Sus scrofa: one gene and its partners. The protein of the gene in region 3 purifies or fractionates together with the protein of the main gene of each other region. This does not show direct contact. Links are inferred from orthologs where the notes say so. Each region holds a gene or a part of one and is shown on either strand. Other genes may lie near its edges. The genes, in order: BRK1, CYFIP2 and ABI1.

Region 1 (3,501 bases), on a different chromosome or scaffold from region 3:
TCAGAGATCTAGTCTGAACTGAGCCTTAAAAGGGAATGGTTGGACAAACGAGATGAGTAAGATTTGGACTTGGATGAAATGAAAGTTGAGGCAAGATCAGGGTGCGGAAGATTTGTTAAAATGGGAGCTGAAGCACTTTGGCATAATATCCAGGAAGAGATGAAAAAGGTTGTGAGCTAAGTGTTAGATCACGAAGTAGGAGTGTCAGGGAGACGGATATTTTAAACTCAGAAGTGAGGATTATTATTATTATTATTATTATTATTTGGCCACCCCGCAGCATCTGGAGCTCCTGGGCCAGGGATCAGATCCGAACCTCAGCCTCGAACTAAGCTGCTGCTGTGGCAATGCCAAATCCTTAACCCACTTTGCTGAGCCAGGGATCGAACTGGAATCCCAGAGCTCCCAAGATGCTGCTGATCCGGTTTTGCCACACCGGGAGCTCCAGAAGTGCGGATTATTGAGAGGTGACTGAACAACAGTGTTGTAGGAGGGTGTAAATAATCAGCATGCCTGGAAACCTTTTTCTCCCAGATGTTGAGAACAGTTGGAGGAAGATTAGTCAGGTGATTTCTGTTAGAGTAGTTTGCAGAAGAAAAAGTATTTTAGGGGACATCTAGATTTCCTTTTGGGTGAGGTGGTAAAAGAGGTTGGAAAAGGTAGAGGAAGAGAAGGAATTTTTTGCAGATGGAAGGTGAGCTGCACAGGGTGTTCGATGTTCTCCAAGTTTCCTCTGCTTCTTAAAGGGCTATGCAGGTACTGATGAAACATCAGGTGCCCTCCTGGAAAAGCCGTCATGATGCAGCTTCCACGAGCTCAGAAACACCACATGTTCCCTCTTCCTCAGGGTCTGCTGCTTCCTTGGCCTCTGCTTTTCTTCCCTATTGAGATTATTTTCCTCTTATCATTTCCCCTTTCTTGAAGCTCTTGATTTGCCTATTACCAAATGGCCATCTCTACAGCCTTGGCGTATTAGTTTTCTATTTTCTGTTGCTGCCATAACAAATTATCACAAATGTAGTGGCTTAAACCTCATAAACATATTATCTTAGAGTTGTGTAGATTAGAACCCAACCCTGGTATCAGCAGGGCTGCCTTCCTTCCTGGAGGCTCTAGGAAAGAAGCTGTTTCCTTGCTTTTAGGTCATTGGCAGAATTCAGTTTCCTGCAGCTGCAGGACTGAGATCCCTGTTTCCTTGCTGTCTGTCAGCTAAGGGCCATGCTCATATTAAAAGGTCACTTGTATCCCTTGGTTCATGGCCACTTCTCTCCATCATCAAAGCCAACAATGGCAGGTTGAGTTTCTCTCACACTTCGAATCTCTTCTCATTCTTCTGCTTTACTTCAGCCTTTTCTGTCTACCTTTGTGGACTTGTGATTAGATGGGGGCCATCTGGATAATCCAGGACTTTAAGATCCTTAACCTCAATCATATTTGCAAAGTCCGTTTGCTTTTACAAGTCCTGGGGGTTAGGGAGTGGACTTCTTGCTGTGGGGGGAAGTGTTATTCTCCGCCTACTGCATAGCAAGTTAAACAGATCCTCTCTAAGCAGCTGTACTCCTAAGATACTTCTCACCTTATCCTCCCACTCCTGTACTTTGCCCACTCACTCCCATTTGTGCTCTGCATGATACATCATTCCTCCTCTTCATCTTAGGGGCTGTGTGTGTCTGTCTCTGGAATAACATTAATCCTGAACGCCAGTCTTCTTTTACCAGATATGTCTTGTCGTTCAAGACTCGCAACACTAAACGAGAAATTGACAGCTCTTGAACGGAGAATAGAGTACATTGAAGCAAGGGTGAGTATGATGGGCGAAGGTCTTCCTCTTGAGACAGGAGTGGCTGTGCAGGAGGGCGTGCATATTTCCACTTGTTGCTGAAAAAAGTTGGAAGCAGAAACAGGTTTAGAGAAGTTAAGTACCTTGCTTGGGTTTAAGCCAGCTTTCTGGGACTCAGAAGCTGTCGTCTTTTCTACCACTTCCAACTAGCTAGGGTATAAAATAAGATTTTTTTAGACCCCTCTAATCCTTTTGAATTTGTCTAATTGTCAGTTTTCCTTTGACAGGTGACAAAAGGTGAGACTCTCACCTAGAACTGTGCCATGCTGCTGCTGGGAAGTTGCTTTTACAGAACATGGGCCCACGTGGGAAAGGCCCCAGCAGCCTTCAGCTCCTTCCTCTCTCCTTAAAGAACAACAGGGCTTATTCTTGTTTTTCTTTTTTTTTCAAAAATGTGGCCTTTGGGCTCTGTGATGTACACCCAGGAATGTGATGAGGCAGGTGGGGAGGAGTCCAGGGAAACTCTTGGAAACAACATTAAGCATTTTACCTTTTCAGTAACACTTTGTAGAACTCCTTGTCAACAAATTTGAGGCTCTAAGAGCCAAAAGCCTGGGACTCTGTCAAGGTCCTCCCCATCTCTCTCTCTCTCTCTTAGCCTTTCCTTACAGCTCTCATTGCCTCTGCACTGATCCTATACACAGTCTTTGTCTCCTCCCCACCTTTGGTCGGGGTGGGAAGCAGTCCTGGCCAAGACATTCCTACCCTGGCGAGGTGGCCGCCAGAGAATGTTGTTGCCAACCCACCAGTTTCTTGTCCATTTGGGGAGGCCAAGGCCTCCCACTTGGCTTGAAAAGGGACATTTTCAGAATTTTCTTTCTGTCACTTGGGGTGTCTTTGCCTCTCATATTTCCCTAATAAACTCCTCAACTTTATCTGACTGCTGTGATTGTGGTGGGGAGAGGAGCTAGAGATGGGGCTCACCTCGTCCACAGAAATCTGATGTGTGGGATTCTTACTCCACTGTAAAACTTCTAGATGTAGCTATTTGATCAAAGCCTAGGTGGCTTGCCAGCTGGAGCCCCCTTATTTGGACTTCGGAGCTGACTAATTTGTTTGGTCATTCATCAGACGTTTGCCAAGTACTTACTATGTAGGCACTTTAAATTCCAATAAAAGATACAGTGTTGAATCAGGCATGATGCTTACAGTCTATTGAAATAACAGCATCCACACGGTTTAATTGCAATCCAGGGTAGACTGTTAGTTTTAAAAGGTACAAGATATGGAGTTCCCGTTTGGCACAGTGGAAACGAATCTGTCTAGGAACCATAAGGTTGTGGGTTCTATCCCTGACCTCGCTTAGTGGGTTAAGCATCTGGCATTGCTGTGAGCTGTGGTGTAGGTTGCAGATGAGGATTGGATCCAGTGGCTGTGGCTGGCAGCTGTAACTCCGATTCAACCCCTATATGGGAACCTCCATATGCTGAGTGTTTGGCCCTACAGAGGAAAAAAAAAACACAAGGAAAATGTCTACTTTTTTTTTTTTTTTTTTTTTTTTTTTTTTTTTTTTTTTTTTGCTTTTTAGGGCCGCACCCCTGGCATATGGAAGTTCCCAGGCTAGGGGTTGAATCAGAGCTGCATGAAGCTGCTGGCCTACACCACAGCCACAGCAATGTGCTATCTGAGCCATTTGTGCAACCTACAACACAGCTCCTGGC
Region 2 (3,749 bases), on a different chromosome or scaffold from region 3:
AATATAATAAAGAAGCTTAGTGAACAGCACGCTAATGCCCCCAGCCAGAGGCTCAGCCTGCAGAACTAGCCAGGGGAACTGGCTTTGAGAGCAACAACACACTCTTCTTGTGGCCTAGTAGCTGCTCTGGCAGATGGCAGCCAGTGTCAACAAGTAACTCTCTATAGGTTTCACCTCTTCCAAATAGACACTGAGTGCTCAACAATGCCTTCTAGTGACAGTAACCCCTGACCAGTTACACACACACACACAGACACACACACTACTCCTATGGTATTTCTGCCCTTAAGGCCAAAGCTGCCCTTGCAGCAAGCAAACAGCACTGACAGCTGCTAAAAGCTGTCATTTCAGTGAGCTGTTCCCCAAAATTGCGACCCAGTTCCCCACTCCCACTTCCAGCCCACTGCCTGAAATTCCACCGTTAGAGATATGAAATATTATTTACTAAAAGCTTTGTTTCCCATTAAAATGCCTCTAAGCCTCTGTTTCCTTTCTGGTCAAATGACTTCTAAAGCACCTGCTCTGCGTCTAATGGGAAATTTGTTTGTATTTGGCTCTTTGAGGATAAATGCCTTCACTGGCTCCTTTCTTGAAAACAATTTCTGGCACAGGAGAATAGGGTGGGGGTGGGGGTGGGGGTGGAGCACAGGGCACTGTGTGGAAGCAGAGGTGAGCGGTCTCAGGAGGGATCGCAGAGAAGCTCTGATGGAGAAAACAACTTTCAAGGCCTTCACCACCCTGTCCAGGGATATGGACCTAGATTTTTGCCCTCCAGCAGCTATAATCTTCACAGCTGCCAGCATGGCTTGCAACAGCGCCTGTGCCCAAGAGTAAGGTAAGATCGACGGCCTCCCCACACCCCTCCTTTTCCCCCCTACCCACCCCCGTGCGCAAAAGTGACAGAGTCAGGAGGTGGGAAGGGAGAGGTGGGAACCAGCACTCTCCTGATTGCCCCTCATGCCTGCAGGGCTACCCCAGCCTTTCTGACCATGCCTCGAAGGCACAAGTGCCCAGAAGCCCACAGGAAAATAACCTTGTCCCTTTCTGGGCCCCGCTGTAAGGGGAGCTGAAGGCCCATCCATCAGTCCTTGGTGAGTCGCACTGCTATGGTGGGGAAACTAGACAGGCAGAGGTCAAAGTCAGATTCCCTGGGCTGAGCAGGGTACCTGGGCAGTCTCGGTGTCCTTCTCTGTCAGGTTTTCCAGACAGAACCTACTCCAGACCATGCTTCCCGCCCCCACCCCCACTGCCACACGGAGAACTGCCCTTGTATACCTTTTCAGATGATGCATACCCCTGGAGGGAGGCGGCTGTCCTGCAACGCAGAAGCCACTACAGAGCTAAATAAAACCCAACCTTTCCCCCAGGAATCAGACCACTCTTTCCCTTCCCCCCACCTCCTCCCCGCCCCCAGCCAGCCAGAGGGAGAGGATGCTAGGCCAGAAGGCTTCAAAGCGGGTCAGGCCTGCCTCCTCGCTCATTAAAGCCCCCCACCCCGAAACAACGCTGCGGAGACCCCTGCTCCACCCATCTCACGTTCACTACAGGGCGCGCTGCGTCCAAGGCGGCTGCCAGGCGGGCCCAGGCGGCTCTAGCTGGCCCTGGGGGAGGTGATGGTAGCTACAGCGGCAGAGGCGGCAGCAGAGGCGGTGGCCGGCGCTCTGCGGTACCTGGGCGCCGGGAGGTCGCCACCGCCGGCCTCGCGGCCGCTGCAGGTGCTTCAGATGCTCGACAGGAGCGCCGCTTCCTCCCAGGCGGGTGGCTTCGGCCCAGGCCGCGCACCTGCTGCTGCTGCCACCGCCACCGCGCCTCAGCTTCTCCATGCGTCGGTGCCTCCCCGAAGGCGGTCCGCGCCTCAGGCACTAGGGTGGGCCAAAGGGGGCAGCGGGCTGTGCTGGGCCCGAGGCCCGGCCTCTGGGAGCTTCTTGGGGCCCCCAGGCCGGGCTAGCCCGGCCGCCGCGCCGAGCACCCCCACGGCGCTGGGAGAAGGGGTGCGAGCCCCTCGCGCATCTCTACGGCTGCGTCGACATCCCCAGCAGCATCCCGGTCTCCACGCCGGCCCCGAGGCCTGCGAGCGCCGCTTACCTGGGTCTGCAGCAGGTCTAGGGGAGCTGCCCGAGGATACGGCGGGGGCCCCGCGCCGGGGCGCAGGATGCTCTGCCTGGCCCGGCTCGGCGGCCGCCGCGCTTGGGCCCGCCCTCGGCCCCGCCCCTCCATCCGCTGCGGCTCCTCCTCCGTTCCCCGCACCCCGCCCCTTCGCCGCCGCGCCTGTCACACAAAGAGCAGGAAATGGCTGCGGCCAGGGGCTCTGGGTGCGTCCCTCAGCGCGGCTGGCGCATCCCAGACCTGCACCCGGACCTCTCGCCCCAGGAGAGCCAGCTACATCGCTTAGGGAGGATTTTCCCGGGCCCCTCAGACCCAGGAACCACACCTGCAGCTTGTGGGAGGACTGATCCTTTGGGCTCCATTAGGATCTCATTGATCTCACATGATTTCCAAATGCATATTTTTCGAGCACTTCTTTCGTTCCAAGCACCGTGCCAGGAGCTGAGTATGCACTGGGGTATGCAAAAGACAGAGTCTCTGCCCTTCTGGAGCTTATCATCTATCAGGAGATACATGGCATAAATTAACTTGGCAAATGTCCAGTTTCAGCTAAAAGACCGTTTTGTGGAAAAAAAAAAAAAAAGAAAAAAAGAAACAGGGTGAAATGGTAGAAAATAAACCTGAGAGTTGGGGAGAGGGCTTCTGCCAATGGAGTCTGATCCCAAATGCTGCTCCTCTGTTCAAGAATACCTACTGGTTCTCTCTTTCACTTCCTTGGTGTGGAATCCCTGAAGCTGCCATCTCTTAAGCAGAGGCCTGCCTCAACTTCATTCAGGAAGAATTAATTGCCTAATGGACAAAAAGGCAAATCCATGATGACGGAAATTAGAGAAGGAATTGAGAGGACAGGCACTTTTCTCTTCAAGACTTATTTGCCATTTAGGGCCCTCCAAAGAAATGGTTCACATTGAAATGCATCCTGGCGGGGCCTCAAACCAGGTGGAAGTCAGACAACACCTAATTCCAACCTTGGGACCCCTGAGCAAGTCACTTCACCACTCTGTTCCTGAGATGCCACCACATCTAAAATGTGGGGAATAATCGTTGCCTTTCCTACTTCACAAGGTAAATGATTTGAAATCATTTGAGATGTTTTAAAGTTAGGGGGTAAAGTCTTGCTACAAGGGAACTTTCCTGAAATATATCTGAGGGGCTTGCAAATGTAAAGTTCATCACTCAGCTCTTCCTATCAAGGGTTATTTATAGAGGAGCCACATTACTCAACACTCAGCAAAGGACTTGTATAAGTCTTTGTCCTCGCTGATCTCACATCCTTTCCCGAGTGCTCAGGATTCATGATCCTTTGTGGTTTGATGTTACATCACTCATTCTAATTTAAATCTCTATTTCAGAAAGGATGACTTATGTATACATATACATTTCTGTCCCTGATGCCATGTGAGAAAGCTGTGGGGGTGTTTGTGGAGGATGGCTTTAAAAAGAGAACTGAGGTTTCCTTTTTTGTGTGTGTCTTTTTAGGGCCCCACCCATGACATGTGAAAGTTCCCAAGCTAGGGGTCAAATCAGAGATGTAGCTGCAGGTCTATGCTACAGCCACAGCAACTCCATATCCAAGCTGCATCTGCAACCTACACCACAGCTCATGGCAATGCTGGATCCTTAACACACTGAGTAAGGCCAGG
Region 3 (3,649 bases):
GTTTTCCCATTCTCAACTAGGAGCTCCAAGGCAGTGTAGTTCATGTCTGCTTTGTTCACTGATCTTTTTAATGAGGTTTTAAATACTTGTACTATGATTATATTGGACATTCATTTCTCAATGATTTCTTTTGATACTTCTGAGTACTTAGATGATTGTGCTGATTTCCTGTAGATGGAGAAGTAGAGTGAAACACAGAAACCACTTCTCCTTTAGGGTTAAAATTCGTATTGAACAGTTAAAAAATTTATATGCGTGCGGGTGTGTGTATAGACACACACCTGCACACATATTCACACAAAGGCAGACATGTACACTTATACATCATGAAAAGAGTATTTAGTGACCTTGAGTTGTTTTTGGGGGGAGAGGGGATAAATCTCTAGAATCGTTTTCATGAAGATTCTCTTTGCAGTGGAAGCAGTGGAGGCAGTGGAAGCCGAGAAAACAGTGGCAGCAGCAGTATTGGCATTCCCATTGCCGTGCCTACACCTTCACCACCTACTATTGGACCAGGTATATTCTCTACTAATATGTGGTAGCATTTATGAGCTTTATTTTAGAAGCCTAAAACAATTTAGTTATATTAGCTTAAAAGTATTCATTAAGTTTATGCAATTGTTAGAATGAAAACCAACAAATTAAAAAACAATTTTTCGGTTTTCCTGGAGTCTTTAGTGTTTTACAGCAATTTCTCCTTACTCATTAAAAAAAGCATATTAAATAGCTTTATTGAGTAATTTTTTTGGCCATTTCTTTTAGAAATACTTACCTTGGGCACTAGTCAAGAATGATATTATTTCAAGAGCAAAGCAATGTTGTTGATAATTCAATGAAATGATCAGTGTCTTTTATATGAATTATGAGTCATTGAGTATTGATTATGCTTTTTAGGCTAGTTTATCAACTATGGTGTTTGTTGGTTCTATGACTTTGCTACATTTGTGTATGATATATTTAATACATATTTCAGAAAAATGCCGTGAATATAAAGTTGATTAAACTAGGAAAAGCACTTTTACTTATATAAAACTTTTAAGATTGCAGAGTATAAAATTGGTCCCTTGATTTTTTTTTAAATTTTTTTTTTTCTTAGTAAATTGAAAGGATCTGTATGGTTTAAAAATAGACATTTTAAAAGTAGGTTTGATAATCAGAACTGTTAGGGAAAAAGTCTTAGGTTCTCAAGGATGTTGTTGAAAAAGGAGAAAAAGCTACTTATAAAAACAAGCATATTTTGTCATTAATGCAAGTGTGAACTCAATGGCCTTTTTACCTAGTGAAATTCTTATTCATTTGAACATGCTCTCTTTTTTTCTTCTTTCCAAAACATTGTACTTTCTTACTGTTTCAGAATGATTAGTTCTCTTTCTTGCACTCTGACCTGAATTATAAACTATTTCGTTAGAAAACATTTCTGTCCCTCCTCCTTCTGGAGCTCCACCAGCACTTCCTCTTCCACCACTTCTCCCAGTGAGCACTGTGATAGGTGAGACTGCATAACCATTGGAGTGATTGAACTCACTTTGCATAATTCACAGTAAACTCCTCTGTTAGACTGTTGGTTTTTATAGTTATTAGGTTGTAGGTGGTAATACAAAGTTTAAAGCATTAAATCTAATTCAGCACTAATTTCTTCTGGTGAAAGGCCTCTGAAGTTACACAGAAACGTCTCTGTGATGTCAAATGCTTCTATACCTAGTTTATAACCAATTTAATGTGGTTTACATTTGTTTTGGTTAGATTTTTCTAGGAGAATTATAGCAGTGATTGTTCAAAAAAATTTTTTTATTAATAATGCAATAATGCCATTTTTAAAAAGTGAAACTTGATTTGGAACTCCCTGGTACATACAGCAGTCAAGGTAGTTGTGTGAACGTGAGGGACAGGAGGAAGAAAAATGAAAAAGAAAATGATGTAATATGTGATTGCTCTGAGGCTTTCCTATGGATCTACAGTTGAAAAACTCTGATACAACCCAGTACTTATGGCATCTGAAGATGACATAAAAATTTTTTTTTCAATAAAATACATTTAAATTGTCCCCAAGAAATTCCAAATATAGACTCAGTATAAAACCATTCAGCCTAGAAATGCATGATAGCATTTGGATAGAAATGGATAGGGTTGTTTCAGATAATAAGAGCTGAGTTTCAGCTTAGGTGAAATAAAGTCATCTAGCACCTTGTTTTCAAAACATTGGCACATACACTCAGAGGAAAAGGAGGAAAAGGGAGTAATAAAAAAAAGCCCTAGTAATAGAAATTGTTGCAGAAATTCCACGTGAAAAGAAGATGCCCTCAATGTAATTAATAATCAGGAAAATGAAAATAAAAACTACAAGATGCTATTTTATATCAACCAACATGTGAAAATGTAGAAGTCCACCAGCACCAGATGTTGATGAGGATGTACAGTAACAGAAAAGTATGTTGCTGGTGGGAATTTACTACTTGATACACTCACTTTAGAAAATAATTTGTTACCTAGTCAAGTTGAACCAGGTTTCTATCGTATATTTATTAATTTCATTTCTAGGTATTTACCCTAGAGTACCGGTTCTCAAAATATGGTTATGGAACTCTTCCTGGGTGTTGCCAAGATCTTTTCATGGAGTTTTTGTAGTCAGAACTATATCCATAATAGTACTTAGACTTCTTTGCCTCTTTCATTTTGCATTCTGGTACAAACAGTGGAATTTTCCAGAGACAACATAACGTATGATATCATTTTTGAAAGCTAATGGGATGTGTTTGTGTAGTCATGTGTTTTTTTGGTTTTGTTTTTGTTTTTTAGCACTGCATTCGTGTGGCATATGGAAGTTCCCAGACAAGGGGTTTAATAGGAGTTGCAGCTGCCAGCCTACACCACAGCAAGGAGGGATTTGAGCCACATCTGCTGTGACCTACACCACAGCTCATGGCTATGCTGGATCCTTAACCCATTGAGCAAGGCCAGGAAGCAAACCTGCATTCTCAAGGATCCTAGTTGGGTTCTTTGCTGTTGAGCCATGGTGGGAACTCCCTTAATGTGTTTTAAAGATAAATCCGTTTTAATTTCTTTTTTTTTTGGCTTTTTAGGTCTGTACCCATGGCATATGGAAGTTCCCAGACTAGGGGTCGAATCGGAGCTACAGCTGCTGCCCTACGCCACTGCCACAGCAATGCCAGATCCAAGCCACATCAGCAACCTACTCCACAGCTCACAGCAACACTGGATCCTTAACCCACTGAGCGAGGCCAGCGATCAAACCCGTGTCCTCATGGATACTAGTTGGATTCATTTCCACTGTGCCATGATGGAACTCGAATCGGTTTTTTTTTTTTTTTTTTTTTTTTTCTTTTTTCTTTTTAGGGCTGTACCTGCAGCCTATGGAAGTTCCCAGGCTAGGGGTCAAATCAGAGCTGCAGCTGCCGGCCTACACCAGAGCTACAGGAACACCAGATCTAAGCTGGGTCTGTGACCTGCATCGCAGCTCACGGCAATACCAGATCCTTAACCCACTGAGTGAGGCCAGGAATTGAACCTGCGTCCTCATGGATACTAGTCAGATTTGTTTCTGCTGAGCCACAATGGGAACTCCTCCAGTTTTAATTTCTAATACGGTAATTACTATCACTATAACCTACCTCAACAAAGTTTCTTGAGG

What was found.
Region 1: the proteins of ABI1 (region 3) and BRK1 purify together in Homo sapiens (co-immunoprecipitation; 3 studies listed by BioGRID and IntAct, with this or other methods). This does not show direct contact. The link is inferred for Sus scrofa from reciprocal best matches to the Homo sapiens genes ABI1 and BRK1.
Region 2: the proteins of ABI1 (region 3) and CYFIP2 purify together in Homo sapiens (co-immunoprecipitation; 4 studies listed by BioGRID and IntAct, with this or other methods). This does not show direct contact. The link is inferred for Sus scrofa from reciprocal best matches to the Homo sapiens genes ABI1 and CYFIP2.

The regions. Positions count from the first base shown.
Region 1 is NC_010455.5:66,321,665-66,325,165, forward strand, and holds the end of BRK1 (protein BRICK1), read left to right. Parts: intron 1-1,718; coding exon 1,719-1,801; intron 1,802-2,067; coding exon 2,068-2,094; 3' UTR 2,095-2,977; downstream 2,978-3,501. UniProt on the Homo sapiens protein: Involved in regulation of actin and microtubule organization. Part of a WAVE complex that activates the Arp2/3 complex. As component of the WAVE1 complex, required for BDNF-NTRK2 endocytic trafficking and signaling from early endosomes.
Region 2 is NC_010458.4:65,999,353-66,003,101, forward strand, and holds the start of CYFIP2 (cytoplasmic FMR1-interacting protein 2), read right to left. Parts: upstream 2,225-3,749; 5' UTR 2,086-2,224; exon of another isoform or gene 1,671-2,085; intron 1-1,670. UniProt on the Homo sapiens protein: Involved in T-cell adhesion and p53/TP53-dependent induction of apoptosis. Does not bind RNA. As component of the WAVE1 complex, required for BDNF-NTRK2 endocytic trafficking and signaling from early endosomes.
Region 3 is NC_010452.4:49,047,408-49,051,056, forward strand, and holds part of ABI1 (abl interactor 1), read left to right. Parts: intron 1-415; coding exon 416-516; intron 517-1,408; coding exon 1,409-1,489; intron 1,490-3,649. UniProt on the Homo sapiens protein: May act in negative regulation of cell growth and transformation by interacting with nonreceptor tyrosine kinases ABL1 and/or ABL2. May play a role in regulation of EGF-induced Erk pathway activation. Involved in cytoskeletal reorganization and EGFR signaling.